Callithrix jacchus: one gene and its partners. The protein of the gene in region 6 binds, or shares a complex with, the protein of the main gene of each other region. Links are inferred from orthologs where the notes say so. Each region holds a gene or a part of one and is shown on either strand. Other genes may lie near its edges.

Evidence for each region.
Region 1: SART1 (region 6) and LSM7 share a complex: the UniProt entries of both Homo sapiens proteins name them as parts of the U4/U6-U5 tri-snRNP complex. The link is inferred for Callithrix jacchus from reciprocal best matches to the Homo sapiens genes SART1 and LSM7.
Region 2: SART1 (region 6) and LSM6 share a complex: the UniProt entries of both Homo sapiens proteins name them as parts of the U4/U6-U5 tri-snRNP complex. The link is inferred for Callithrix jacchus from reciprocal best matches to the Homo sapiens genes SART1 and LSM6.
Region 3: SART1 (region 6) and LSM8 share a complex: the UniProt entries of both Homo sapiens proteins name them as parts of the U4/U6-U5 tri-snRNP complex. The link is inferred for Callithrix jacchus from reciprocal best matches to the Homo sapiens genes SART1 and LSM8.
Region 4: the proteins of SART1 (region 6) and UBL5 are in contact, whole or in part, in a crystal structure (PDB 4PYU), measured with the Homo sapiens proteins. The link is inferred for Callithrix jacchus from reciprocal best matches to the Homo sapiens genes SART1 and UBL5. Residues at the interface, in NP_005137.1 of Homo sapiens: Ser117, Leu118, Ser119, Ile120, Thr123, Leu126, Arg127, Leu130, Leu132, Lys133, Leu135; in NP_001041706.1 of Homo sapiens: Met1, Glu3, Arg15, Lys17, Cys18, Asn19, Asp21, Asp22, Asp26, Lys29, Leu30, Ala33, Gln34.
Region 5: SART1 (region 6) and LSM4 share a complex: the UniProt entries of both Homo sapiens proteins name them as parts of the U4/U6-U5 tri-snRNP complex. The link is inferred for Callithrix jacchus from reciprocal best matches to the Homo sapiens genes SART1 and LSM4.
Region 7: SART1 (region 6) and LSM2 share a complex: the UniProt entries of both Homo sapiens proteins name them as parts of the U4/U6-U5 tri-snRNP complex. The link is inferred for Callithrix jacchus from reciprocal best matches to the Homo sapiens genes SART1 and LSM2.

Annotation. Positions count from the first base shown.
Region 1 is NC_133523.1:2,193,180-2,197,471, reverse strand, and holds the start of LSM7 (U6 snRNA-associated Sm-like protein LSm7), read left to right. Parts: upstream 1-1,492; 5' UTR 1,493-1,496; coding exon 1,497-1,586; intron 1,587-1,668; coding exon 1,669-1,759; intron 1,760-4,292. Other genes in the region: SPPL2B (signal peptide peptidase-like 2B), read right to left, coding at 1,363-1,428. UniProt on the Homo sapiens protein: Plays a role in pre-mRNA splicing as component of the U4/U6-U5 tri-snRNP complex that is involved in spliceosome assembly, and as component of the precatalytic spliceosome (spliceosome B complex).
Region 2 is NC_133504.1:50,820,501-50,824,629, forward strand, and holds the start of LSM6 (U6 snRNA-associated Sm-like protein LSm6), read right to left. Parts: upstream 2,801-4,129; 5' UTR 2,168-2,800; intron 1-2,167. UniProt on the Homo sapiens protein: Plays a role in pre-mRNA splicing as component of the U4/U6-U5 tri-snRNP complex that is involved in spliceosome assembly, and as component of the precatalytic spliceosome (spliceosome B complex).
Region 3 is NC_133512.1:88,800,659-88,804,628, forward strand, and holds the start of LSM8 (LSM8 homolog, U6 small nuclear RNA associated), read left to right. Parts: upstream 1-1,170; 5' UTR 1,171-1,315; coding exon 1,316-1,346; intron 1,347-3,970. UniProt on the Homo sapiens protein: Plays a role in pre-mRNA splicing as component of the U4/U6-U5 tri-snRNP complex that is involved in spliceosome assembly, and as component of the precatalytic spliceosome (spliceosome B complex).
Region 4 is NC_133523.1:9,021,370-9,025,380, forward strand, and holds UBL5 (ubiquitin-like protein 5), read left to right. Parts: upstream 1-1,211; 5' UTR 1,212-1,354; intron 1,355-1,611; 5' UTR 1,612-1,622; coding exon 1,623-1,678; intron 1,679-2,152; coding exon 2,153-2,236; intron 2,237-2,387; coding exon 2,388-2,425; intron 2,426-3,627; coding exon 3,628-3,671; 3' UTR 3,672-3,781; downstream 3,782-4,011. UniProt on the Homo sapiens protein: Ubiquitin-like protein that plays a role in cell proliferation and sister chromatid cohesion by associating with spliceosomal proteins. Participates thereby in pre-mRNA splicing by maintaining spliceosome integrity.
Region 5 is NC_133523.1:17,038,834-17,042,995, forward strand, and holds the start of LSM4 (U6 snRNA-associated Sm-like protein LSm4), read right to left. Parts: upstream 2,801-4,162; 5' UTR 2,739-2,800; coding exon 2,736-2,738; intron 1-2,735. UniProt on the Homo sapiens protein: Plays a role in pre-mRNA splicing as component of the U4/U6-U5 tri-snRNP complex that is involved in spliceosome assembly, and as component of the precatalytic spliceosome (spliceosome B complex).
Region 6 is NC_133511.1:123,038,019-123,042,088, reverse strand, and holds the start of SART1 (U4/U6.U5 tri-snRNP-associated protein 1), read right to left. Parts: upstream 2,801-4,070; 5' UTR 2,753-2,800; coding exon 2,440-2,752; intron 1-2,439. UniProt on the Homo sapiens protein: Plays a role in mRNA splicing as a component of the U4/U6-U5 tri-snRNP, one of the building blocks of the spliceosome. May also bind to DNA.
Region 7 is NC_133505.1:39,306,746-39,310,708, reverse strand, and holds the start of LSM2 (U6 snRNA-associated Sm-like protein LSm2), read left to right. Parts: upstream 1-1,163; 5' UTR 1,164-1,263; coding exon 1,264-1,266; exon of another isoform or gene 1,267-1,398; intron 1,399-1,867; coding exon 1,868-1,935; intron 1,936-3,963. UniProt on the Homo sapiens protein: Plays a role in pre-mRNA splicing as component of the U4/U6-U5 tri-snRNP complex that is involved in spliceosome assembly, and as component of the precatalytic spliceosome (spliceosome B complex).

The DNA of each region.
Region 1 (4,292 bases), on a different chromosome or scaffold from region 6:
AACCTGGGAGGTGGAGGTTGCACTGAGCTGAGATGGCACCACTGCACTCCAGCCTGGGCGACAGAGCAAGACTCCCTCTCAAAACACACACACACACACACACACACACACACACACCTGCTTTGGAAAACCCTTTCCAGGCAAACTCCAGGAGGGAACCTTCCTTCCACCTCTGGTTCTTCCCTCCTTCCAAACGTCTGGGGAGTTGTAGGTCCCTGGCTGCAAAATGGGGGGACGTCCAGGGGGCCGAAAGAGCAGCAGGGGGTGGGGTTGTTAGAAAGCTTCTGCGGAGGGCTTCCAGGGTAAGAGAAACGGCCAGGGAGCCCACTGCAGGCTTCTGATAGCCAGGTCACAAATGCACGGACACACTCATCTGGATGTGACAGGGTCACTCCTGCTGTGTCGAGGCTGGACTGGGGACATGGGGGACAAAGGCAGCCACAGCAGGGGGAGGACGGCGGAGCTGGAGGAGTGGGGCTGAGAGAGCGCCGGTGGCAGCGACGCCTTAAGAGTGAGAACTCGGAGAGAGGAGTCAAGGTTAAGGGCCGCATTTGTAGGGCTGCGCTCCTAAAGTCAGGAGAGAGGGAAGATTTGGAAATAAGAAAATAAAAAACGCAGTTAGGGCAGTGCTATCTCGTAGACTGTCCCCACGAGAACCTGAGATGCTTTGCAGCAAACGACACACGATTAACATAACGAGGGCGTGCTGGCCCTGGGCGCTGGTCACCCTGGGCATCATCTCCAGAATCCACACCATCCTCAGCCTTCCTGCGGACGAGCAGCTGACGCTCCAAGCAGGGGATTCCCTTGTCCAAGGTCACAGACTAAAAGATGGAGCAGGGATGCAGCCCCAGAGCAGGGCTGGGCTCTTGGCCACTCCAGGGCGCTGCCAGACACTCGGGGACGCGCGGGACGCCTCTGGGTTCCCCACGGCACCCCCTAGGGTGAGGCTAGCCAGCACCCCGCCCGTTCCGCCTACGGGGAAACTGAGGCTCGGCGCGGGGTGGGCAGCCGCCTGCCCAAGGCCACAGAGCCAGAGACAGGCGACCCCGGCGGCGGCTGGAGACCCCGAAGAGGACAAGCAGAACGGAGGGATGGAGTGGGCACAAGCTTCAGACCCGGTAGGAAGTGAGGGGCGCTGCGGCGGCGCAGGGCCTCCGAGGCAGGGACGGGAGACGAGCCGGGGACAGCCCCGCAAGGTCACGGCCAGGCCCCGGCACCGCCGGCCAACGGCGCGGTGACCGCGGATCCCCGAGGCTGGAACCCCCGGAGACGACCTGGGTCGTTCCTGGGCGTAGCCCGGGGGCCGAGAGGCCCAGAAGCCGTAGCCTGCGGGGCCGTCGGAACCAACGCCGCGCTCACCTGGGCCGCGAGGAGCAGAAAGGGCGCCACAAGCCGCGCCAGCGCAGCCGCCGTCGCCGCCGCCATGTCGGCCGGTGCCCACCGCAACCGTCGACAGATGTTTCCCAGCAACGCCGCGAGACCCCGGGCCACGCATGCGCCGCGCATGCGCCTGCGAAGCCGGGAGGGGGTCAAAGGGCGCGGGGTGGCGCCTGCGCAGAGCGGCGCGGCGCGGCAAGATGGCGGTGAGCGCGCGGCGGGATCCGGAGCTGGGGGCGTGGGGCTCGGGCCGCGCTGCGCGCCTCACGCGCTCTGCTTTCCCCGCAGGATAAGGAGAAGAAGAAAAAGGAGAGCATCTTGGACTTGTCCAAGTACATCGACAAGACGATCCGGGTGAAGTTCCAGGGAGGCCGCGAAGGTGAGGAGGCTCCCGCCGTCGGCACCTCGCCTTTAAAATTCTGAAATAAACCCAGGAAGAGCGATGATGAGGACGCATGCATGCGGAGGCGCCGCTTTTATTTATTCTTTTCTTTTTTTTTTTTTCTTTTTTTGAGACCGAGTCTCGGTCTGATGCCCAGGCTGGAGTGCAATGGCGCGATCTCGGCTCACTGCGACCACCGCCTCCCGGGTTCAAGCGATTCTCCTGCCTCGGCCTCCCGATTAGCTGGGATTACAGGCGCCGGCCACCACGCCCGGCTAATTTTTGTGTTTCTAGTAGAGACGGGGGTTTCACCATGTTGGCCAGCCTGGTCTCGAACTCCTGACCTTAATTGATTCTCCCTCCTCGGCCTCCCAAAGTACCGGGATTACAGGCGTGACCCACCGCGCCTGGCCTCGCAGGCCCCTCTTTAGACTACCTTATGCGGTATTCCTACTTACACCGGGAGGTAGGAACTGGTATGCCCATTTTGCATGCAAGGAAACTGAGGCACGGGGCGGGAAACAGACGGAACCCAAAGTCACAGTGGCATAGCAGGGATTGGGATTTCAGGGTTGGCCTTCTGAGCAGTCCTGTGTGTCCAAGGGCTGCCCCAGCTCCCCACAGATCTCCCGGCTTCTGTTTCTCCCCCACCCATGTCAAGATCTCTCCCGGCACCAACAGTGTGGACACATTTGGGGCCGGATCATTCTCTGGGTTGGGGCCGTACCTGGGCACTGCAGGGTGCTGAGCAGTATCCCTGGCCTCCACCAAGTCGCGACAACCTAAACAGCCTCAGACAGGGTGGGCGCAGTGGCCCACACCTGTAATCCCAGCACTTTGAGAGGCTGATGCAAGCAGATCAGGAGCTCAGGAGTTCGAGACAAGCCTGGCCAATACGGTGAAACCCTGTCTCTACTAAAAATACAAAAATTGGCTGGGTGTGGTGGTAGGCGCCTGTAATCCCAGCATTTTGGGAGGCTGAGGCGCCAGATCACTTGAGTTCAGGAGTTTGAGACCAGCCTGGCCAACATGGCAGAGCCCCGTCTCTACTAAAAACTCAAAAATCAACCAGGCATAGTGGCACATGCCTGTAGTCCCAGCCACTGGGGAGGCTGAGGCAGGAGAATCGCTTGCGCATGAGAGGCGGAGATCATGCCACTGCACTCCAACCAGGATGATAGAACTAGACTTTGTCTCCAAAAAAAAAAAAAAAAAAAAGCAGAAAGGTCTGGTTCCTGAAGGGCTCACCTGATGCCCTCAGGCCCACCCAGGCTGTTTCCCTCCAGATTGGCTTACAGTCTGCTGGTTCCCGGGCTTCAATCACAGCTGCAGAGTTCCTTGTCTTCCTCACGTCACCTGACTGCAAGAGTGACGTCTTGTCCAGTCAGTCACATGCCCCAGGGGTGGGGATTCCGAACCTAGCTCTCCAGGGGAGAGGAACCTTGGGTGCACCCACCTGCCTCGGTGCTCACGTCTGTCCCCTTGAGAGGGGACTCTGGTCAGGCCAGTGCTGGGCACCTGAACAGATGTGTCTGGCCCCATTGTGTAGGTGATGAGTTTCTTTTTTTTTTTTTTTGAGACGGAGTTTGTGCTCTTGTCACCCAGGCTGGAGTGCAATGGCGCGATCTCGGCTCACCGCAACCTCCGCCTCCTGGGTTCAGGCAATTCTCCTGCCTCAGCCTCCCGAGTAGCTGGGATTACAGGCACGCGCCACCATGCCCAGCTAATTTTTGTATTTTTAGTAGAGACGGGGTTTCACCATGTTGACCGGGATGGTCTCGATCTCTTGACCTCGTGATCCACCCGCCTCGGCCTCCCAAAGTGCTGGGATTACAGGCGTGAGCCACCGCCCCCGGTGGTGATGAGTTTCATTTTGCAGGAGAGGAACTTGAGAGCACAGAGAGCGAGCTGGGGAGGGGGGCCCAAGCCTGGGCAGTCAGACCTTCTCTGTAGGCAAAGGCTGGTCGGCAAATACCTTCAGCTTTGCATCCCAGATGGTCTCTGAAACCAGTGAGCTATGCGGGGAGAGCGGGAGACCTGCCGTGGTCAGCGCTGGAGCGGGAGCGGCGCGTGTGGTGCTGGGCCCTGGGACTTTCACTACGGGATGGGCAGCGGGCCAGGTTGGCCTGAGGGTCATGGTTTGCAGACCCTCACCCCGCACCCCTCCCTGCACATGGCTGCCCTGGGTGTGCGCGGAGCGGCCGTGGGCCAGCTCACTAGGCCCCGCCTTTCAGGCAGACAGAATAATGCCCAGGGTGCCTGCTTCCTGGGATTGGGGGATGGTACAGTGGGCAGCACCCTAAGAGGTGTGGGTGGGTTGGTGTCTGGAGAAAGCACCTGAGAGGTGGCAGGGGTGAGAAGTAGGGTGGGGCAGCCACTGGGAAGCCCCTCAGAGAGCGCAAAAGTGCATCCTCGGCAGGAGAGGCCTGGGCCGGAGGAGCCTGCAGGGGAGGGGTGAGGCGTCCCAGGCAGGGAGGATGGGCCAATCACCAGACACTGGGGAGCAGGATCAGATGGCAGAGGTCACTGC
Region 2 (4,129 bases), on a different chromosome or scaffold from region 6:
ATGTTTACCTGTAAGTTTTTACCTACTCTAGAGTACTTAACAGTTTAGCGTGGAAAAAATTGAAAAGCAAAAATTGCAAGGAAACAACATTAGAACCCAAGTAATTGCAGCGTGATACTAAGATAGCAGTGTCTGACGAGGCAATCAGACACCGAGGACAGCTCTCTAAATTCCTCCCTCTGACACAGTGGAGAGCCGGGCTGTCTTTTGAAGACAATCCCTCCTTCCCGAGCAGCTGGGGCCTCTTCTCTCCCTCTCTTCCAAAGGCGAAGTTAGTCCACTGAAAGCACCTCTTTCCACTCTCAGTCGTGGCCCTTATCAGGCCGTTTTGTAATGTTTCCATTTGCTGACTGATCTCCCACAGTGAATTTTAAGCTTCTTGGGGACAGGGAAAATATCTCACTCACTTGGTAACCCTGGTATCTAAGCATACTGTCCAAGTCTGTGGAAGTGACATTCAAAGCCAGTGTCAAGCAAAATTCCTGTCCAGCCCCCACCAGCCCAAACTATGGGTACAGTGACTAGTAATATCAAGTGTGTACTTCAACAAATACTAATCAAGTAATCTCTATAATGAGCACCAAAGACGGAGAAAACAACTGTTTCTGTCATTCAAGAACCAGCTGTATCCAAATCTAGAGATGCTTGTTAAAATGCAAATTCCTGAATCTACTGAGGCAAAGGCACTATACATTACATTATAAAGTTCTCCAGATAATTTCTATAAGCAAATGGTTCTCAACTAGGGGCAATCCCCCCTGTCCTCCCCCACCATGCTCAGGGACAGCTGGAAATATCTGGGGACACCATGAACTCTCATGACTGAGGAAGGTGGTGCTACTACTATACTAGTGAGTACAGACCAGGGATGCTGCTAAACATTTTACAATGCACAGGACGGCCCTCCACAACAAATGCGTCCAGGCCAAAAAGTCCATGGAAGTTGAGAATCTCTGCTATAAGCCCTAAAATAAAAAAAATTTAAAAACCAGCAACATTGTTCTTTGGCCTTAAAGTGAGGAGTTTTAAAGAAATCTCCCAAATATAGCAAATGAGAACCAACACCTACATCTAACCAAATGATGGAGTGTAGATTATAATTTATCAGGGATTTTTTTTTTATTCTAACATATAGAGAATCTGAAAACAACTGTCAAAGCCTTGAAGGGGTTGCCATTCTAAATAACGGATTTCTAGCCTTGGCCATGAAAATGATCACTTTACAATTTTTCAGTACTAAAGATCCCTCTGATGATTAAAATCTGTTAGTACACTTTTAAAAAAGAGAATAATCCAAGTGATGTAAACATATTTTTAAATTCTAATATCTACTATGCCACAGTTCAGTGAGAGGCTGCCTGATGCAGCACAGAGTACTCACTTGGGAGGCAGGAAACCTCAGTTCTAATCCCAGCTCTGCTACTTAATTGGCTGTGTGACTTGGATAACTCATCTCACCTCTCATGGCCCCAGGTTCCTCATCTGCAAAATAAGGGGGCTTTGCTAGATGACCACTTAGGTCTCTTCCTGCTCTAACATTCAGGCAGTCTACTGCAGTTAACTCCAGTGATACACACTACAGACATAAGCCTCTCAAGATTTCTGCACAATATTCAAGCAAGTAAAACTGCCAACCACCTCTAAAACTTTTTTGGAAAACACTGCAGCAATGTGCATGAAAGCCTAAAGACCTTATGGATGACAGCATCTATCTGATAATTTCACTTCTGAGAATCTAGTCCAAGGAAATAATCTACAGGATGGGGGGGAAATGTTTATCAAAATATGATCTGGGATGCTAAGATGATGCAAAAATTCAAAAACAACCAAATGTCCCACAGTCGGGAAATGACTGAATAATTTATGGGACCTACACTGGGATCCACAATGATGGGCCAGCCACTCAAAAGAAGATACAAAATTAGAATAATATTTAGGAAGAGTTTTTAAATGGAACTGGAAAACTACACTGTTAAGTAATTAAACATGAACAGTCCTAGTCCAAGTAGACGCTGGTACATACAGGAGAAAAAGATGGCAGGTGAAAGGGTTCAGCGAATATTATTTTCTTCACTAAAGTCTTCTATGTTTGCAATTTTTCTACAACAGTCACGTATTACTAAGAGCAGTAGGGTGGGGTAATTCCAATCATCCTAATCCTACACACCTTAAACAAAAATGCCCGCTATTCACGCGCCGGGGCACAAACGCGGACACATAGAAAACCTCTGGCGATAGGACTTAAGACCATACAAGGGGTTCCCCGACTAGACAACTCGGTAATTCAGGTTAGTCCAGTCCTTAATTCCTGTGGTTAGGCGCAGCCACTCCGATGTAGGGTAGGCTTCGCAATTCTCTGAAGCCTGGAAGAATCCAGGCAAAGCCTAGGCCTAGATTCGGGATCCGCTTTCCCGCCGAATCCTGGGATTAGCGCTGGGGTTCCCTTGGGGAATTTCGATAACCTCCGAACAACTTCGTGCAGTCTCGAACGCCAAATCGACGCCAGCCGGGACGGTGCCGCTCCTCTCGGCGCAGTGTAGACGCCTCGCTGACGGCGGTTCCAGGCGCCCACCAACAGATCACTCCCGGCCATTACGTGCACACAGAGCTTGGAAGCGGCATTTCGCGGGGACCCACCACCCAGCAGTCCCTCCCCGGAGCCCCAGCCCGCTCCCCGCAGGCCGTTTCCGAGGCTGCTCGGCTCGCGCAGCCACGCGGCTCACCTCGTCGGCGGGATCCAAAATCCTCACTACAGGTGCCCCAAGAGCCCGGGCTCCGCGGACTTCATCGAATCGAAACCGAAACCGGCGAGGCAGCGGTACTTTTCTGCCTCAGCCAATCAGTGTTCTTCTCTGCTACGGCAGCCCGCTGGGGCCGAAAAGGCCGGTCCGCGCCAAAGCGCTCAAATCCAAGAATCCTGGTTGGTTTGTCCAGTGGCGAAATTGGTGCAAAGGAATTCCTCTAACAGAAATCCGGATACAACACAAATACAATTCAATACAAAACAAAAACAAAAATCCAGAAAGCTAGAAGTGATCTTTTGGGCAGGATTTATTTGCAGTGTAAAAAATAACTTGAAGTCATAGAAAACTGGAATTTACAGTTTTAAGTAACTGCCGTGTGTACCCAGAAACGTCCTTGAATAGTTTAAAGCAAACAAATAAATAAAACAAACACCTCAAGTCTTTAAATCTGCCTCTGGATATTGATTAAATGTGTGAAGACTTAAGCCATTTTAGCAAGAGACTGTTTCCATGGCAATGTTAATTGATACGAAAATAATTAAAACCACTCAAGTAACTCCGAATTATAATGACGTTAATTGTGTTACATTATAAACTAGTTCCAATTGAAAATGGTGTGCAGACATTAGCTAAGTGCTACCTGTGGGAACTTGGTTTGGAATTTTGCATGAATTCTCAATACTCTTGCTATTAATAGGATTGGAGAGGAAAAAGAAGAGAACAGTCACACCAGGACTTGGTTCCTTTTTCCCTGTCACATACTTTCATCAGCTGAAAACTTATACTTTATTTTATTTATGATTTGTAACACTATACACAAAGTGATAAGATCTTCCAACACAGATCCTTAACTCCATTAAGTGTTATAAAATCTAAGATGCAGAATGTTTTTCTAAGATAAAGAGTTTCTCCCTTGTATCCCTCTTTTGGCTAAAGGCAGAAGAAATGAACCCTTGGTATCAGGGACAGAAAGCAACTGGATGTGATTTGGTAAAGAATAGAGACTTCCTTATATCCTTCTACAAAAGCTCAGTTTGGGTAAAGACAAAACCGTTACAGACTTATTAAGAGGGCTGTATTTGAAGTTCTTGCAATATAAAATATAATGTAAATAAAAATTTTAAGAAAAGTGCCATTAAAATTAAATAATTAGTTGCAAAGAACAAACATGATAGGATAAAAAGCCCTGTCCCTAAAAACATTCTTTGCAAAAGACATCAAATTGCACACTCCCTACTGGTTGTTTCAATTATTCAAAAAACAGTAAGTTTTTGATTCAAATTTCTTTCCCTTTCCTACAGACCCCTGATGGAGCGATTAACACTGGTGTGGTGGGTAGGGAGCCATGAGGAGTTTAAAGGCCTCGTTCATCTGAGGAGCAGCTG
Region 3 (3,970 bases), on a different chromosome or scaffold from region 6:
GAGAATATGAGACATTCACAATCCAATTCCTGACTACACTTGATTTCAAACAGATCGGAATAAGTTCCAGAATATAAAATATTAACTATTTGGTAGTCATCTTGCAGGTATTTTGTGGGTATGCTCTAATTAAGAAATGCTTCCTTTTCCGAGGAAAACTGCTGAGGTTGCAAGAGTGATTCCAAAACCACAATTCTTAAGAAATCACAAGTTTAACTGAAATCATAAAGATATTTTGTAAAAAAAAGAAATCACTCCTGCTGGTGTTTTATGTATAAACCTTTTTCTAACTTCCAGCTCTCTCATGTTAGGGCACCACAGTAAATAACGTATAGGCACAGTGGCATTTTCTAGTATCATGTCTGGAAATATCTTAAACGGCACCTATAGCAGCATCTAGGGAAACTGAGGCCCAAAAGAGTTGATGTGACTCGTGCAATGACACCAATTTGCTAGCAGAGCCAAGATAAGAACCAAGTTTGGTACTTTTCTGCATCAGTCCTTTCTCGGTGCTGCAGGAGCCTTTTACTTACTAATTTAACCCTAGGGAAGGGTAGACCATCGTGGCATGGTAGAAGCGTGGATATTCATTTTCTAAGGAATGATCACACACCTTTGTCTATTTGCATTTAGTTTCTTTAAAAAGTAACAGCACCTCTATTTGGGAGTGCTTTTAGAAACAAAAGCAGAACATACGAACGTGCTTTTCATTGATGATTTACACTGTGCCGTTATAACGTGCGCAACTTTGTCCCGGGCAACTGGACTTATTTTTAGTGTTATTTTCATCTCCTGCTGCAGAAAACTAGAGATTCCCCTACCCGCACCTGCATTTCACACAACAGTACTTGTCTCTTCTCCTCCTTCACTCCTAATAAAAACACCTTATCCCGTTTCTTCCTGTCTGCTCTGCCTCGTCTCAGCAGTCTTACTTATTAACTTCCACCACACTGAAAGAAAACGCACCCTCTCACCCTCACTCTTACGCCACCTTCAGGAAGCTTCTTCCTTTTCCGTCTCTCGCTCGCTTTTGTCTGCCTCTAGGTCACTTTTGTCTCGCGCGGTTTCCGGAACACGGCCCGGAACTACAGCGAAAACACACTGCGTACGCGCGCTCTATCTTCGCCGCTGTGCGGCTTCTGTTTGATTGGCCAGTTCATTACAATTTCCGATTCGGGGGCAGCTGCGCGGCAGCAGGTCTCGCGACATTGCTGCGGCCCGGCAAGCGCAGGCCACAGCAGGGTTCTAGCGCGCCCATTCAGTTCCGCCTGCCGCCGGCACCGGTGTGTTACCCGGAACTGCCGGGCAGAGCAGCATGACGTCCGCCTTGGAGAACTACATCAACCGTATCCTCAAGGTTGCCGCCGCGGGCGTGAGCCGGGGTTACGGAGACACAGCCAGTCAGGATCGGTGGGAGGTTGGGAGACCCGACCGCGGCGGGATCTTGGGGGCGGGCGAGGGGAAGAGGACCCCGGAACGACCCATAGTTTACCGGCGGCTGCTGGAGCCTGCAGCTGCTGCGGGCCCAGGGGTCCTTTCCTTGTCGCCTGCAAAAGCCGGATAAAAACCCAGTGTGATTATTCCGAACTTTTCTCTCTTGAAAAAAAAAAAAAAAAAAAATACGTTCTTGATTCTTTACTATTTCCATAAGACTTACGTGTTCAGGTTTATAAATAAGATGAACAGTCGTCCGGGCGGCGACAGCAGTTTTAAAAATCTTTGTCTTGTTTTATTCATATAATTTGCTCATTAGTTTGAGGATAGCAAAAAGTTTAACGATGGTTCACAGACCAGGTTTCAGTCCCTTTACCACTTGAAGTCTCAACTTATTGGTAGAATGAAAAAAATGCTTGCTGTTGTATTGGATTGTAGTGAGCAGTAAGTAACAAAAAACCGCATGGGAAGTCTTAAAATAGACTTTGCAAGTGTTACCGTTTTAAAGTCTCAGGACAGAAGCACGACATTGTGCTCATGTACAAACTGGATGACAAATTAAATACCGAATGCTTTTAATCATGTGGGCATTATTGGTATCTTGTGACACTGATTATATAGTTTGTTTGCTTTTTTAATTAAAGAAGACTGTCCTGGAAGACAGTTTTTTAACATGCTTGAAAATGGTCCAACACAGATTAATTTAGTAGTCATTCAGTTTTCATTTTAGAAATGAAGAAATAGACCTTAGAAACAAAATATCCTGCCCAAAAATCATAATTGGCAGCATTCCTGATAGAAAAGTGTCAAAAACCCAGGATTTTTTTTTTTTAGTTCTGTAGTCTCTTTATTTTATTTACTTTATTTTTATTTTTAAAGAAGAAAAGAAAGAGAAAAAAGGAGTGAAGGAGAAGAAGAAAGAGGAAGAAAAAAAGGGAGAGAAAACAGGAATATTGCTTTATTCTAAAAAATGGGTATTAATAATGGCTGGTCAATATTTTGTGTATTTAAAGTGAAGAATGTATATTTTGTGTATTTAAAATGGAGAGCTCTATAAATATTGATTAAGTTTACTTGTTCCAGATCTGTGTTCAAGTCCTGGCTGCCCTCATCAATTTTCTGTCTCGTTGAGTCTAAATCTCTTTATAGGTCTTATGTATCTGGGTGTTAGGATCGTTAGCTGTTATTGTTACATTGATCCTTTTACCACTATATCTTTGTTGCTTTGAAATCTATTTTATCAGACGTGAGAATTGCAACTCCTGCTTTTTATTTATTTATTTATTTTTGCTCTCCATTTGGTTGGTAAATCTTTCTCCATCCCTTTGTTTTGAGTCTTTGTGTATCTTTGGATGTGAAATGGGTCTGGATGTAGCATACCATTAGGTTTTGGCTGTATCTTTTGATTGGGGGATTTAGTCGACTTAAATTTAGGGTTACTGCCATTTGATGTTAACTGGCTATTTTATCCATTCGTTGATGTAAATTCTTCTTTATGTTGATGCTCTTTACTTTTTTGGTATATTTTTAGAAAGGCTAATACTGGTTGTCCCTTTCTATGTATAATGCTTCTTTCAGAAGCTCTTGTAAAGCAGGCCTGATGGTAATAAAATCTCTGAGTACTTGCTTGTTCAAAAAAGATTTTATTTTTCCTTCAATTGTGAAGCTTAGTTTCTCAGAATATGAAATTCTGGGCTGAAAGTTCTGTTCTTTAAGGATGTTGAATATAGGCCCCCACTCTCTTCTGGCTTGTAGGGTTTCTGCTGAGAAATCTGCTGTAAGTCTAATAGGCTTCCCTTTGTGGGTGACCTGACCTTTCTCTCTGGCTGCCCTTAGTATTTTCGTCTTTGTTTCAACCTTGGTGAATCTAACAATTATGTGCCTTGGGGTTGCTCTTCTTGAGGAATATCTTTGTGGTGTTCTCTGTATTACCTGGGGTTGAATATTGTCCTGCTTTGCTAGATTGGGAAAGTTTTCCTGAATAATATCCTGAAGAATATTTTCCAGCTTGGATTCATTCTCTTCGTCGTATTCAGGTACATCTATCAAACGTAGATTAGGTCTTTTCACATAGTCCCATATTTCTTGGAGACTTTACTCTTCCTTTTTATCCTTTTTTCTCTATTCTTGTCTTCTCATTTTATTTCATTAAGTAGGTCTTTGACCTCTGATATCCTTTCTTCTGCTTGATCAATTCAGCTATTCAAACTTGTGCATATTTCGCTAAGTTTTCGTGTTGTATTTTTTAACTCCGTTACTTCATTTATATTCCTCTGTATATTGTCTATTCTTGTTAGCATTTCGTCAAACCTTTTTTCAAAGTTTTTAGTTTCTTTACATTGGGTTAGAACAAGTTCTTTTAACTCCCAGAAGTTTCTTATCATCCACCTTCTGAAGCCTACTTCTGTTAATGGCACACAGTCCTTTTCCATCAGGGCTTGTTCTGTTGCTGATGAGAAACTGTAATCTCCTGTAGAGGAAGAGGTGTTCTGATTTTGGGTATTCTCAGCCTTTTTAAGCTGGTTTCTTCCCTTTG
Region 4 (4,011 bases), on a different chromosome or scaffold from region 6:
ATGGAAAATAAGGCATAAGAATAGCAAAGGGAATTAAAAGCTGGATAAAGGGCAAAATAAGTCGAGAGCAGAAGCAAGGTGAAGGGGAGGGTGAGAAAAAAGGAAGATAAAAGGCAGAAGCCGAGCAGCAAAACAAAAGGAAAATAAAAAACTGAGCAAGGATCCCATGGTCGGCAAAATCCAGACCAAACTAATAAGGGGCAGCTCTTCAGGGATAGTTAAGTGCATTAAAGACAAAAAGTACCCTTAACATAAGGATGATAATCAGCTCATTAGCGCTCATGCATATGGAGGGTATATCACGCAAGAACTTAAAATTAACGCATGGAGGCGGCCCTCAAGCGCACAGAGGTCAAAGTAACTAAGCAACACACATATCAATCAAAAAGGCAGACACTGGCTAGAGATTAGGCAGCCTTGGGAAGAAAAGAAAAAAAAAACACATAAAAAGAACCAAACTACACCAAGCTGGGGGTGATCTCATCTCGCAGAGGTCAGTCTGCTCTCCCACTTCGACTGGAATACTGTGCTTACTAAGGTTGCTGCTTTGCTATCGCTGTGTGTCTCATCCAAATCTTGTTCGGGACACCAAGAGCCTGGAACTGTGAGGCACCATAAGGTAACAGCAGCTATTGGGCAGCGTGGAGTCTAGTCCAGGATCAGGCTTCGCCTACTGACTGGAGTCCACATCCCCGGGGGACGCGACGGCCAGAGGGCAGAGGTGAGCAGAATGCTCACGAGGCCCTGCCCTGAATGAACCCAAGGGGTCAGAAGGGATAACTGCAGGACTCGCATCTCCCACCCTCCGCCCTCGCTCCTCGTAGTTGCAGCAAGAGGCTTCGGGCTCAGGATCAGAAGGAGCTCATCCCGAACCCCGGGACCTTCTGGCGTCCTCACCATGCGACCGAATCTCCCCGCAATGAACAATGGCTTCAAACGAGCTGGGAGCCGGCACCGACCTCTGGCTCTCGTTCCACACCCCTTCCCCGTCCCCACATCCGCCGAAGCCCCCGGTTCTACCCCGTGTGCCTACCACAGGCGTCCGCGTGCCAAGCCGTGCTTGGGACACCGAAACCGTACCTGGGAAGAGCAAGCACACTCCCTACCGCAAACACGGAAGAACTTAACCCAGTGTTGACCACACCCCCTGGCCAGGGGCGGGGCTTCCGGCTCCTCACTTTTACTTCCGCTTCCGGTTCCCAGCGTTAACTGCGGCCGGGGTTCAGCGCTCGTACGAGGACCTAGTGGCGTCGGCAGGTTCGAGGCGATTCGAGGTGAGGGGGTCAAGCGGAGAGGCCCGCAGTCGGGGAAAGCTGTCGCGCCCCCGCCACCCAGGGTCTGGGGTCAGTGGCAGGTGAGACCATAGAGTTTTGTGGCCGGGCCTTCTGGCGGCGAGAAGTGGAGGCGCGGCTGCCTGGGGTTCGCGGTCTTGGGACGCGGGATTTGGGGCCTGGGAGTATTCGAGTCCGGGGGGTTGAGGGCAGAATGGAAGGCTCAGTAATAGGGATTTTTAGGGCCTGGGATTGGGAGACTTGTAAGCTGGTTCTTCTTGGCCTGGGAGACCCCTGAAAGTCTAACTCTGTTGCCTCCCACCCCCGCGCTCCTGTGTAGCTCCAGCTAGGATGATCGAGGTTGTTTGCAATGACCGTCTGGGGAAGAAGGTCCGCGTTAAATGCAAGTATCCACTGGCAGCCGAGAGGCAGTGGTACCCGCAGGGGTGCTTGACGTGAGGCGGGTAACTCAATCTGTGTTGTCGGAGGGCTTTAGTTAAACCCGGGAGAGGCCGAGCGCGGTGGTTCACCCCTGTAATCCCAGCACTTCGGTAGGCCGAGGCGGGCTGATCACGGGGTTAACAGATTGAGACCATTCTGGCCAACATGGTATTTTTAGTCTCTACTAAAAATACAAAAATTAGCTGGGCCTGTTGGCGGACACCTGTAGTCCCAGCTACTTGGGAGGCTGAGACAGGAAAATCGCTTGAACCCGGGAGGCGGAGTTTGCAGTGAGCGGAGATCCTGCCACTGCATTCCAAAAAAAAAACAACAAAAAATGGGGAGAAGAGGGGATAGGGTTCTGGCAAATGGTGTGCAGCCCCAGAATGTCCTCTTCCGTGTTCTACCGCTCCCATTTGCCTTAATTCCTCTGCGCCCAGCACGGATGATACCATCGGGGACCTTAAGAAGTTGATTGCAGCCCAAACTGGCACCCGTTGGAACAAGATTGTTCTGAAGAAGTGGTGAGTGCAGTGGTAGAGCCACGAGGTGGACTGGTCTAGGCCTGAAGGTTTTGGTTGTGGGAGCGCAGCAGGCAGCTCTTTGCTACCCTCAGTCTGCCTCCAGGCTGAAGAGCCCCTTTAGCCTTGTCTCTTAAAGGTTTCTTTTCCTTAGGTACACGATTTTTAAGGACCACGTGTCTCTGGGGGACTGTATCCTTTGTGTGACTTTTTGAGGCAGCATCTACATACCCAGCCTCGGTTATCTTTGTTCGAAATTAAAGTCTGCATGAGATTATGCATATTAAGTGTTTAACTTACTATGTGGCACATGGTGAGCACTTAGAAAATAGGAGGAGCTAGGTAATTATTTGGTTGGGGAGGAGGGTGGTTGACTGGTGAAATAGTTTGACTTCAAGTTCAAAATACTTATTTTTGAGCTCCACCTGAGTGCTGGACAGTAGGTCAAGGTGGAGTGAGACTCAGGCATATCTATTGTACAGAAGGTACAGAACCTTATTATTATTTATTTATTTAAAAAAATTTTTTTAAGACAGGGTTTCACCATGTTGGTCAGGCTGGTCTTGAACTCCCAACCTCAGGTGATCTGCCCACCTTGGCCTCCAAAGTGCTTGGATTACAGGCATGAGCCACCACACCAGCCACCTTATTTTATTTATTTAGTGTTTTGAGACAGCCTGGAGTGTAGTGGTGCGATCTTGGCTCATTGCAACCTCCACCTTCTGGGTTCAAGCAATTCTGCCTCATCCTCCCAAGAAGCTGGGATTACAGGCATGTGCCACCACTCCCTGCTAGTTTTTGTATTTTTAGTAGAAATGGGGTTCCACCATGTTTGGCCTCAAGTGATCCTCCCGCTTTGGCCTCCCAAATTGCTGGGATTGTAGGTATGAGCTATTGGGTCTGGCCTAGAAGGAACAGAAACTTTTTTTTTTTTTTTTTTTGAGACAGAGTTTCGATCTTGTTCCCCAGGCTGGAGTGCAGAGGCACAATCTTGGCTTACTGCAGCCTTTACTTCCTGGGTTCAAGAAATTCTCTTGTCTCAGCCTCCTGAGTAGCTGGTATTACAGGCACCTGCCACCACGCCCAGCTGATTTTTTGTATTTTTAGTAGAGATGGGGTTTCACTGTGTTGGTCAGGCTGGTGTTGAACTCCCAACCTCAGGTGATCCGCCCACCTTGGCCTCCAAAGTGCTTGGATTACAGGTGTGAACCACCATGCCCGGCCCAGAAATTTTTTTGTAAAGTTTCAGTTCTCTCCAAATAAAAATGACCCAGTCCAAAATGGTCTTTTTTAGCCCTGGGCTGAGACCTTAGGCCACCCTGACCCAGTTGTGAATGAATGAAAGGAGTGGGGATGGAACACAGAGTCAAGATTCCTTAACACCTTTCCTTCAGATGAAATCCACGATGGGATGAACCTGGAGCTTTATTATCAATAGATGAGAATTCTCATCTTCCTGCTGCCCCACTCTCCCCTCCCATCCTCACCCCCCACACTGGGATAGATGCTTGTTTGTAAAAACTCACCTTAATAAAGACTTAGATGTTCTTTGTTGTCTCTTTACATGAGAGCTGTCTAGTGATGGGTAGATTGGTCGCTCTTTGGTCATTTCTGTATCATCAATGTGCATCTGCTAAAATAAGGGTTCCAAATCAACTGGATCCATGAAGGCAGAGTAGATCAGCAGGCCGGGAGTCTGAGGGAGCCCAAAGAGAGCTCTGGGCTTTGCTGTGGGTGTGCGAAGGTCAACAGGCCCTAGGATTATAGTTACCCTAATA
Region 5 (4,162 bases), on a different chromosome or scaffold from region 6:
AAAAAGTGCCAAGTGTGATGGGAGCGGCCCCATCACCTGGCTCAGGGAAGATCACAAGAAAATTCAGAAAAGAGAATTCCTTTCTCTGCGCTTTCTTGGAACACCTGGAGTCTGGTTCTCAGGTTTAGACCCATGAGGACTAAATCCAGTGGCTCCTAATTCCAGAAGCTTTCCAGGACTGCCCTCCCCGGCTGCTAACCCAGGTCACTCCTAGTCCTACCCTGACCACAGGGAACTGGAAGTGTGTATCCCATGAGGCCTTGTCCATTCTTTTTGTTTTCCCCTGAGACGGAGTTTCACTCTTGTTGCCCAGGCTGGAGTGCAGTGGCACAATCTAGGCTCACTGCAACCTCCACCTCCTGGGTTTAAGTGATTCTCCTACCTCAGTCTCCCAAGTAGCTGGGATTACAAGCATGTAATCCCACCACTCCAGGCTAATTTTGTATTTTTAGTAGAGACGGGGTGTCTCCATGTTGGCCGACCTCAGGTGATCCACCCACCTCGGCATCCCAAAGTGCTAGGATTACAGGCATGAGCCACTCCACCTGGCCCGCCTCGTCCATTCTTGGCCACTCCTCCAGGAAACGCCTGGATAGCCAGGACTTGGGGACTCTGGATGTTCAGAAGGTGGGGACGGGCTGAATGAATGAGTTCTAACTTTGCCCACGCACCGTTCTACACAGTGGGAATAATAGAGGGAAGAAAAATGAAGATCCTGCTTCCATAAAACTTGTCACAGGATGGACCCTTCCAACTCTGCCCTCGGGGACACAGCAGGAGGGGCCGGCTCCCTTCTCTGAATTGTTGCACTTGAAACCGCCTTCGCAACAACTGTACCTGAGGAAATTATGACAGCAAAAAGAGATCAGACCTAAGCAACTCCATCTTGCTTGTAACCTTTAAGCTGTCCTTGCTCTTTCCTGGGCATAGGCCGAACTAACCTTGGGAAGAAATTCAGTCTATAGTTTGACTCTGAGACAAGATTGGTAATAGCTTTTTCCAGAAAACACCCTCTTCTTACCTGGGGACCAGTCAGCCTTTGGAGGACTGACAAGCTGCAAGATTAGAAATTATCGTTTAGGGGTCACGAAGCCTCTGGCTCAAGAGTCTGAACCTCCCCAAATTGCTCCTGGGGATAACATCACTATTATAAAAATCTAAGATCAGTGCTTGAGATATTTTTGCAGACCCTGTACTAGGTGGATCCGCTGACACCACCCAGACGAGTAATGTGGCTCAACCAGTCCCGCAATCCCACCCACGGACAGAATCCCACCCAGGAACAGAAGACAGCAAGAAAATCTCACTTCGACCTCCTCAGGACTCCATCTCCAACCTCAGGAAGCTCCAGCCAATCAGCACCCCCCACTTCCTGAGCCCCTACCGACCAAATCATCTTAAAAACTCGGATCCCCTAGGCTGGGTACAGTGGCTCACCCTGTAATCCCAGAACTTTCAGGAGGCTGAGGTGGGTGGATCACCTGAGTTCAGGAGTTCCAGACCAGCCTGGCCAACATGGTGAAACCCTGTCTCTACTAAAAATACAAAAAAATTGGTCGGACATGGTGTGGTTGACGCCTGTAATCCCAGCTACTCAGGAGGCTGAGGCAGGAGAAAAGCTTGAACTCGGGAGGCAGAGGTTGCAGTGAGCCAAGATTGTGCCACTGCACTCCAGCCTGGGCAACAAGAGTGAAACTCCAGTCTCCTGCAGAGCTGGCTCTGTGTGAATTGCTTTCTCCATTGCAATTCCCCTGTCTTGATAAATCGGCTCTGTCTAGGAAGCAGGCTAAGTGAACCCACTGGGTGGTTACACACTGACCCCAGGATTTAGGGAGCATCTCTTACTAATCCTCAGCTCTGATGCAGCCACCCCTGTGGGTCCCTCCTGGTTACTAAATCTCCCACTGTCTCACAGAGTCTGGAAGTCACATCCCCAACAAAGGCCTAGATTTCTCTCCCTGAAAAAAGAAGCGCCAGATGCTGATGGGCCAGGAAATTCCCAGCTCCGACTTCGTTTTCCGATCTGCACATTGAGGACACGGGCACTTTCTGGCCCAGATCCAGAACTTCCATAATCACAAACATCTGGCCCTGCAGAGACCTGGGCCTCAGTTTTTCCTTCTGTGTATTGGGAGGATGCACTTTATCCACTCCTGCTCAAAATGCCCCCTTCCCCTGGAATGACATGCTATGTGACCCAAGGAGAAAGACCACACCCCAGCACCAGGCCCGATTTTCAGACAGAAAACAACAGGCCTAGGACGCTGTGCTGCGAGCATTTTATGCATCTTGCAAGCTCTGAAATTCCTAAAGCTAAGTTTCACAACTCAGACTGGCCCCCTACTTCCCAGCACTCTAATTTTCAATCTGGGAGGTCTGACCGGGCCCGAAGCGTTCGGGGCCCCTTCCCTGCCCAAAAACTTGCATTTGGCGGGCCCCCACCTTTTTTGACCTCAGTTTCCCCACCTGAGGGGAAAAAATGGGAAAAACTAAGTAAAGCGAGCCCGCTGTACTACGGATACAAGCCCGTGCAACCCTAAATCTCAGACACAGACGTCCTAGAGCCATCTGCAGTCTCCAGCCTCAGTTTCCCAGCCTCGTGCCGGGAGACGGAACGCGAGGCTCTGACTCTACGTTCACCCCGCGCCAACCCAACCGTCAGCGCCCGCCCGGAGGGCTCCCAACGCCTGCGGCTCCCGCCTCCCGATGAGACCCCGCCGTTGCCCTGCCCTCACCATGGTGCCGGCGGGGACCGGGCTCGCCGGCCACTTCCGCCACCGCCGCTGCACACGCTCCCGGCGGTCGTCGCAGCGCCGCGCGCCACTAGGCTGAAAGAAAGTGGCAGACACGCGAGCCAGTCAGCACTGGGCTCGAAGGGCGGCCAACCAATCCACGCGGAACACGGCGGGGCCCTCTGGGCGAAAGGGGCGGGCGGGCCGCGTTCCCGCCGGAGGAACGAGGAATAGAGCCGTAAAGTGTCGCGACTTGTAATGCAAAAGGGGGCGGAGCAACGCGCCCAGGCGCGGGGTGTTTTGTGGGTAAGCGCATGCGCAGGTGAAGCCGTCGGTCTCGGGCTCCACGCTGTGGGCAAAGCCAGTTAATGCCTTTCGTTTGCAGTCTTAGAGACAGCGAGGTCTCGTGGTGATTGGGACGTCCCTCAGGTCGCCCTTCGGACTCCTAGTTTTCTAATTCTGTAATTATCCAGGAACATCATTTAGTGGGTTGGAATCCTGACCACGCCCCTCGGAGCCTCAGTTTGCTGTAAAATGGGTTATAATAGTAGTGTCTGCTCCAAAAGGTTGCTTGCTGTGAGGATGAAATGAGTGAAACTATGTAAAAAGCACTTAAAACAGCGCCTGGCGATCGGGCGCGATGGCTCACGCCTGTAATCCCAGCACTTTGGGAGACCGAGGCGGGTGGATCACGAGGTCAAGAGATCGAGACCATCCTGGTCAACAAGGTGAAACCCCGTCTCTACTGAAAATACAAAAAAAATTAGCTGGGCATGGTGGCGCGTGCCTGTAATCTCAACTACTTGGGAGGCTGAGGCAGGAGAATTGCCTGAACCCAGGAGACGGAGGTTGCCGTGAGCCGAGATCGGCCATTGCACTCCAGCCTGGGTAACAAGAGCGAAACTCCGTCTCAAAAAAAACAAAAAACAAAAAAATAAAATTAGCCGGCAGTGGTGTAATCCCAGAATCGCTTGAACCCAGGAGGCAAAGGATCACGCCATTGTACTCCAGCCTGAACCCAGGAGGCAAAGGATCACGCCATTGTACTCCAGCCTGAGCAACTAGCGAAACTCTGTCTCAAAACAAACAAAAACAGGTCTGGCGCATATTAAGTACTTAACAATATACTTTGTGCCTGCTTCTGCTCACAGAAATGAACAAAACACAAAATTCGTGGCTCTCAGGGAGACAGTAAACAAAGTAAATAGGCAAATGCTGTTGTTTCCTGGGGCTGTAACAAACGCCTGCAAACTGAGAGGTTTAAAACAACAGAACGTGATTTTCTCACAGTTCAGGAGACCAGATTCTGAACTGAGGCTGTCAGTGGAGCTGGCTCGCTCCGGAGGCTCTGTGTGTCCTGTGCCTCTTCCTGGGTTCTGCTGGCTGCTGCCAGTCCTTGGAGTTCCTTGACTTATACATGGAGTCTTCTG
Region 6 (4,070 bases):
TTAAGCCCTGGAGAATACCTCAGTTTATAGTGTTACTACTCAGTTATTTCTTTTTATATAATCCTTTATATGATTATATATTAGTTTATAGAATTAGGGCTTGGAGAGTATCTGTTTACAGTGTTACTACTCAGTTATTTCCCTTTGTACAATCCTCTCTATATGATCACACATTAGTTCATAGAATGAGTGCCTAAAGAATATCTTACCACTCAGTTATTTTCATATATATTAAAACTATATCTAAGTTTATAATCAGAGGAATGCCTAGAGTAGATACAGTACAGAGCATGAATTAAGGAATAAGCAGCTTATAATCGGAGGAATGCCTAGAGCAGACACAGAGCACCGCATGATTTAAGGGAAAAATGTTATACCAGGGCAAGAATCCATGGCCTAGGCAGCAGCATTCAGTATTATAGATACCCGCTGTATGGCAGGCTTGGGGCAAGAGCCACTCCTCCTGATAAAGGAGTTGTAGGACCTTGCACCAGTTCCTGTGGAAGGCTGCCCTCAGACCGGCAATCACACCTTGGTGACTGTGAACTTTATCAGCTCTTGTTACTGTGCTGCTCGAAAAGCATTCCTCTATAGAACTTATTGGAAGCTGCCAGCAGGTGGCATAGACCCTGACAGCTCTGTCACTGCTATGTGACTTAAAGCATCCTCCTATAAATCTTCTTAGTAGCTTACCCATAGATAGAGGTATTGCACACTGCACCCTCTTCACTGCACATGGCCCACCTCCATACCTCAGTGACCTAATGGGGGTGGACCCCTTACTGCACACGGCCCTTGCCTTGATGACCTAATGGGAATGGACGCCTTGCTGCACACTGTCCACCTCCCAGCCTAGGTGACCTAATGGGGTGGACCCCTTGTTTTATTGCTCACGACCCTATCACTATCCTTAAAGATGACTTCACTCACTGCCCTGCCCCCTAACCTAAACACAACAAACACTCACGCTTCTGGACATTTGGGGCCTCACCTGACTCCACTCATAGGGGCGTGGCCCCTCGAGCCCAGCTGCATTTTCCCTGTACTTCTGTGTCCTGTCTCTTTTTTATTTTTTTGAGACGGAGTTTCGCTCCTGTTACCCAGGCTGGAGTGCAATGGCGCGATCTCAGCTCACCGCAACCTCCGCCTCCTGGGTTCAGGCAATTCTCCTGCCTCAGCCTCCCGAGTAGCTGGGATTACAGGCATGCGCCACCATGCCCAGCTAATTTTTTGTATTTTTAGTAGAGACGGGGTTTCACCATGTTGACCAGGATGGTCTCGATCTGTTGACCTCCGGATCCACCCGCCTCGGCCTCCCAAAGTGCTGGGATTACAGGCTTGAGCCACCGTGCCCGGCCTGTCCTGTCTCTTTATTCCTTGGATCCTGCGCCTCAGCACAGCATAAGGCACACCCTGTGGGCCATCAGCCCTACAAGCTTCACTGGCCACCCAGATACTGACTCCCAGTGGCTTTATCCAGTCCAAACTCTGGCTTTTCACATGCACATCAAGCTCCACAACCCCAATTATCCATCCCCCTCCAAATCTGCTTCTCTTCTCTGCTCCTCAGTTTCAGTAGAGATGACACCCACAACTCATCTGGCTGCTCAAGTCAAAATTCAAGGAATCATTCTCAATGCCTTTTCCTTCCCAGTCTCATACAAGTGCTGAGTTCTGTTCATTCCTCCTCCAAAACACCTCTCCAACCTGTCCACTTCTCTCCATCCCACTGCTGCTGCATTGGTGCAGGCTACCATCGGCCCTCATGTGGTCTCTAGCAGTCCTGATTTCCTGGTCTCCAATCCTGACTACCTTTGACTAAGTTCTCAATCCAGCAATGTTTACAAAATATGGATCTGAGCAACTCACTCCTCAACTCACATCCATGGCTCCCTACCAACCTCAAGACAATCTATATTTCTTAACGGAACCTACGGTACACGGTCCTTTGTGTTCACATCCCTAACTATCTTTATCTTACTCCCTCATTTCACTACCATGAGCCCTACACGATTCTTCCAATACCAGGTTTCTCTCGCCTCTGCATACGCTGATACTACTTCATTCATTCATTCAACACATTTATTGAGGATCTGTAATTGTACCAGACAACTGAGGAAAACAGAAGCCCTCTGTCCTCAAGGAGCTAGGTGGAGAAAGTCAATCTCTAATCCTAATCAACCATAGAAAATACTTTTTTTTGAGACAGTCTCGCTTTCTTGACCAGACTGGAGTGCAACTGGCGCGATTGCAGCTCACTGCAGCCTCTAACTCTTGGGCTCGAGAGGTGCCGTAGAAAAACTATTTAATAGGAGTTAACGTAGACAGTCTGGGGGTTTCCCGGCCTGGAGAGCTTCGCAGCCACTGCGCGCACACCCAGACCCGCCCGCTCCGGGACCCCTGCCCGCCCCGCCCCCTGAGCAGGTCCCGCCTCCTCACCGGCCTCATAGCCGTCGTCGCGCTTCTCCCGCTTCACGCGCCGCTCTGAGGGCTCTGCCTGGCTGCGCTCCCGCCCGTGCGTGCTGCTCCGGGCCTCAGCTTCGGCCCCGCGCCGCCCACTCCCGCGCTCGCCTCCACGTTCCCGGCTCCGCTTCCGTCGTTCGCCGCCGCTACCGCCACTGCCGCTACTCCGGTGCTTGTGTTTTTTGTGCTCCCGGTGCCGCGGCGGCTGCTCGGTGGCCCCACCGGTCCCGGCCGCCGCCGTCGTCCCGGCCGCCTCTTTCTCTCCGCGGTGCTTCTTGGACGACCCCATAGTAGCGCGTCAGCCCCAAGCCCGGCCGCTGCCGAGCCCAGACAACGCAAAATGGGAACACTTCCGGGTCGCTCGGCAGCCGCTGTCGTGTTGCGGGAAACTAAGAGCGGCTGCTTCCGCCGCTCGCCTTGGAGCCTGCCCCAGAGGCTCATGGGAAGGCTAGGATCAGGGCTCCACTGCGCATTCGCGCGGTCTTGGGTCCAGTGGGTTCTGTGAGCAGGTGGTCCTGTTGCGCATGCGCTCCTCAAGGGACGCGGAATTAACCCCGGAGATGGGATCCCAAAACTGGAAGGAGTTAGACCTGCTCCACCCACCACACAAACAGCAAATAACTTTACTGAACACTATCAAATGTGTTCAGACACCTTAAGCCAGTGTCTTCGAGGCTGGAAGTTCCTCCTTGGCCTCCCTGCGCTTGTACTTCCCCGGCAACGTGGTGTTCACTACCTCACGGTCTCCGTGGACACCTCCCTCCTACAGTGGGCGCTCGCTTCCTGGACTCCTGGGGTCGTGGCTCCAACGGGTGTTGTTTTCCCGAGGTCCCCAATTGCATAGCCCAGCTTCCGACTCCCTAGAACCAGTATCCTCAGGGAACGCTGCCTTCCCACGTCCCCCGGGTTGTTTTTCTCTTGAGATAGGATCTCACTCTGTTCCTCAGGTTGGAGTGCAGTGGCGCCATCACCGTGCACGGCAGCCTTGACCTCCCGGGCTCAAGTGATCCTCCCACCTCAGCTTTCCCAGTAGCTGGGACTGCAAGTGCACGCTACCACGCCCCTCTAATTTGTGTATTTTTTTATAGATATGGGGGCGGGGGTCTCACTATGTTGTCCAGGCTGGTCCTGAGCTCAAGCGATTCACCCGCCTTGGCCTCCCAAGTGCCGAGATTACAGGTGTGTGCCACTCTGCCTGGCCCTGGATTGGGTTTTTTAAACGTGTGAACTGTTAAGGAGCTCCACATGGGTGTCAGTGTGTCCGTGGAACCCCTGAAATTGAATGCAAAATATGGCACATCTGTGTGTATGATTTTTTTTCTTGAGGAGAGGATCCCTAACTTAAAACTACTGGAACTTAAAAAGACCAATGCACACATTCCCTCCTGAAACCCCTCCCCCCACCCAACGGTTACTAAGACTGTGGCTCCCTGTGTGGCACAGTCAGTCTGTGTTAGGGTATGTTGTATGCACCCCTCTGAGGGTCCACCCCCCCTCCCACTGACTGGGCATCCTCAGAGGCGGGAGTCGTTCCATCTTATTCACGCTTGAATTTCTAGGACCCAGCATACACATTGAGGATGGGGTGGAGAAGTCACAGTTCTTGC
Region 7 (3,963 bases), on a different chromosome or scaffold from region 6:
TCGTCACTGGTCATCAGAGAGATGCAAATCAAAACCACATTGAGATACCATCTCACGCCAGTTAGAATGGCGATCATTAAAAAATCTGGAGACAACAGATGCTGGAGAGGATGTGGAGAAAAAGGAACACTTTTACACTGTTGGTGGGAGTGTAAATTAGTTCAACCATTGTGGAAGACAGTGTGGCGATTCCTCAAGGATCTAGAAATAGAAATTCCATTTGACCCAGCAATCCCATTACTGGGTATATATCCAAAGGACTATAAATCGTTCTACTCTAAGGACACATGTACATGAATGTTCATTGCAGCACTGTTTACAATAGCAAAGACCTGGAATCAACCCAAATGCCCATTGATAATAGACTGGATTGGAAAAATGTGGCACATATACACCATGGAATATTATGCAGCAATCAGAAATTATGAGTTTGTGTCGTTTGAATCTGGAGAACATCATCCTCAGCAAACAGACACAAGAACAGAAAATGAAACACCGCATATTCTCACTCATAGGCGGGTGATGAAAAATGAGAACACATGGACACAGAAAGGGGAGTACTAAACACTGGGGTCTATTGGGGGGAAAAGGGTAGGGCCAGTGGGAGGGGGAGGTGGGGAGGGATAGCCTGGGGAGAAATGCCAAATGTGGATGAAGGGGAGAAGGAAAGCAAAGCACACTGCCATGTGTGTACCTACGCAACTGTCTTGCATGTTCTGCTCATGTACCTTAAAACCTAAAATCCAATAAAAAATTAAAAAAAAAAAAAGATTCAAAACTTTTACATTTTATGGTTTTAACCAATATAGAAAAGTGCATACTTCATAATCTTCACAAACTCCCCACAATTCTCGATTAGGAGTGTGTGTAAATCAGGAGGACTTGACGCTATGGACGACAGGATCCTGGAAAAGAACAGTATCCTTTGAGTTGAGGAGCTGAGTCCCGCCACCCGCCCAGCAGCCCAGGCCCGGGTCCGCGCGTGCGCAATGGGAGCCGGCCAGCCCGGGAGGAAGTCGGAATGCAGGAACCCCGCCCCTTTCCCGGCTTCCTCCTCCCTTCGGTTCTACCCAGAGTGCTCTCCCCAGCCACAAGTCGGCCGCGCTCTCCCCTTCAGTGCTTGGAGCTGTCTACGTCCTTTCACGCTGCGCCTGCGCGGCCCCGCCTCGCCCCACGCGCGGGCTCCCGCTTCGGTTTCCCCAGACCTGCTGGCGGCAGCCTGATCTTTTCCCGGTCCGGCCCGCTGCCCGCGGCGCCAAAACCATGGTGGGTACTGTGAAGTCAAAAGGTGGTGCCCTCGGGGAGCTCGGACGGTTGGGGCGGGGAGTCTGGCCTTTGTCCCCCTGGGCTGGAGTTTTAGGTCCTTAGTCTTGTGCCTCAAGTTCGTTGAGGAGATACCTGAAAGCAAATGGGAATTTTTTTTTTTTCCATGGGAGGTTAAAAAAACTCAACCCTGAGAGAGAGTCAATGGGGACAGCGGGAGACAGAAAAGTTAGACCTTAGAGCACTTAATCTGCCGGAGACCAAGCAGGCTTCCGGCGGGTGGGGGTGGGATATTTTCTGCAGTTCATTGAAAGGAGTGGGCAGGGACCCCAGGAAGGTGGCCGACTGAGAGAGCACACTTGGGCCGACGTATGCAGGGCAGAGCCTCTCTGGAACTTTAAGTGATGGGCTCAATGCAGTGTGTGGAATAATATAGGCTCCAGCCTTTCACCTCTGTCAGCCGATTATTCTTTCCTGTGAAGTTTTGAGAACTGTCAGAGATGCAGTGGGGTTCACAATACCAGTGTTTGGTAATACTGGCAAGGGACACTCCTCCCTACCATGTTCCTTCCCACATGATGGTTTTCCCCCTCTCACCCAATAGCTCTTCTATTCTTTTTTCAAGTCCCTTGTGGGCAAGGATGTGGTCGTGGAACTCAAGAATGACCTGAGGTAGGTACCTGTTCCAACAAGTCTGTTGGGGGTGGGTGTGCCCAACGCCCTGGAACCTCTTTAATTTGAGAACTATTTGAAGGCTGGGAGAGGTGGAAGATATAAGGAAGAAATAAATGGGTAGGGCTCAGTGGCTCAGTACTGTAATTCCAGCACTTTGGGAGGCTGAGGAGGGAGGATCGCTTGAGCCCAGGAGTTTGAGGCTGCAGTGAGCAATGATTACTCCATTGCACTCTAGCCCAGGCAATAGAGCAAGACCCCATCTCTAAGAAAAATTTAAAAATAAGTGCCTTGTGCCTTAAATTTACAGATAAGCTTGGGATTATGCTGTGTATTGGAAAACAATACAAAGCATTATATAGTTTAAAGAGTAAGTACTAGTAGCCAGGCTCCCTGGCTCTCGGGTTGGGCGAGGTGACTCATACCTGTAAGCCCAGCCTTTGGGAGGCCGTGATGGGTGGTCACCACGAGGTCAGGAGTTCAAGACCAGCCAGACCAAGATGGTGAAACCCTGTCTCTACTAAAAATGCAAAAATAAGCCAGGTGTGGTGTCAGGCGCCTGTGATTCCAGCTACTCAGGAGACTGAGGCAGGAGAATCGCTTGAACCTAGGTGGCAGAGATGGCGGTGAGCTGAGATTGTGCCACTGCACTCCAGCCTGGATGATAGAGTGAGACTCCATCTGGGAAAAAAAAAAAAAAGTAAATACTAGGCTGGTCATGGTGGCTCACACCTGTAACCTCAGTGCTTTGGGAGGCTGAGATAGGAAGATCACTTGAGTCCAGGAGTTTGAGACTAGCCTGGGCAACATAGTGAGACCTCTATTTCTACAAAAAATTTAAAAATTAGCCAGGTGTAGTGATGCATGTCTGTAGTCCCAGTTATTAGGGACTAATCCCAGCCTGAGGTGGGATGATCACTTGAACCCAGGAAGTCGAGGCTACAGCAAGCCATGATTATACCACTTTACTCCAGCCTGGGTGACAGAGGGAGACTGTGTCTCAAAAAAGAACAGGCCATAGGATGGGCATGGTGCACAGTGGCTTACACTTGTAATCCTAGCACTTTGGGAGGCTGAGGTGGGAGGATCACGAGGTCAAGAGATCTAGATCATTCTGGCCTATATAGTGAAACCTTGTCTCTACTAAAAATACAAAAATTAGCTGGGCGTGGTGGCCCGCACCTGTAGTCCCAGTTACTAGGGAGGCAGAAGCAGGAGAATCATTTGAACCCGGGAGGTGGAGGTTGCAGTGAGCCAAGATTGCACCACTGCACTCCAGCCTGGCGACAGAGTGAGACTCCCATCTCAAAACAAAAAAAGAACAGGCCATAAACAGCAAATGTTATTTCTACAAAATGAGAAGCACCCATTAGGAAGAATATAGACTCTCTGATAGAAGGTTCTACGGGGCTAGAAGGACAGGGAGAAGTCTCTCAAAAATACAGCATTTAGTCTAAGTCCTGAAATAAGATTAAAATAAAAGATACAAGTGGGAGGAGATTTAAAAGCAGTGCAGGCATTAGTTTTCTGTTTATCCTTTATTTTTTTTATTTTTATTTTTTTTGAGACAAGAGTCTGACTCTGTTGCCCAGGCTGGAGTGCAGTAACACTACTCTTATCGGCTCACTGCAACCTCAGCCTCCCGAGTTCAAGTGATTCTCTTGTCTCAGCCTCCCCGAGTAGGTAGGATTATAGCTGCCTGCCACAATGCCCAGTTAATTTTTGTATTTTTTGTAGAGATGAGGTTTCACCATGTTGGCCAGGCTTGTCACAAACTCCAGACCCCAAATGATCCACCCGCCTCATCACCCCTAAGTGCTGGGATTACAGGCATGAGCCACCTTGCACGGCCCAGACACTGGGTTTTAAATACTTGAGAATTTTTTTTTTTTTTTTGAGACGGAGTTTCGTTCTTGTTACCCAGGCTGGAGTGCAATGACATTATCTCGGCTCACCACAACCTCCACCTCCTGGGTTCAGGCAATTCTGCTGCCTCAGCCTCCTGAGTAGCTGGGATTATAGGCACGC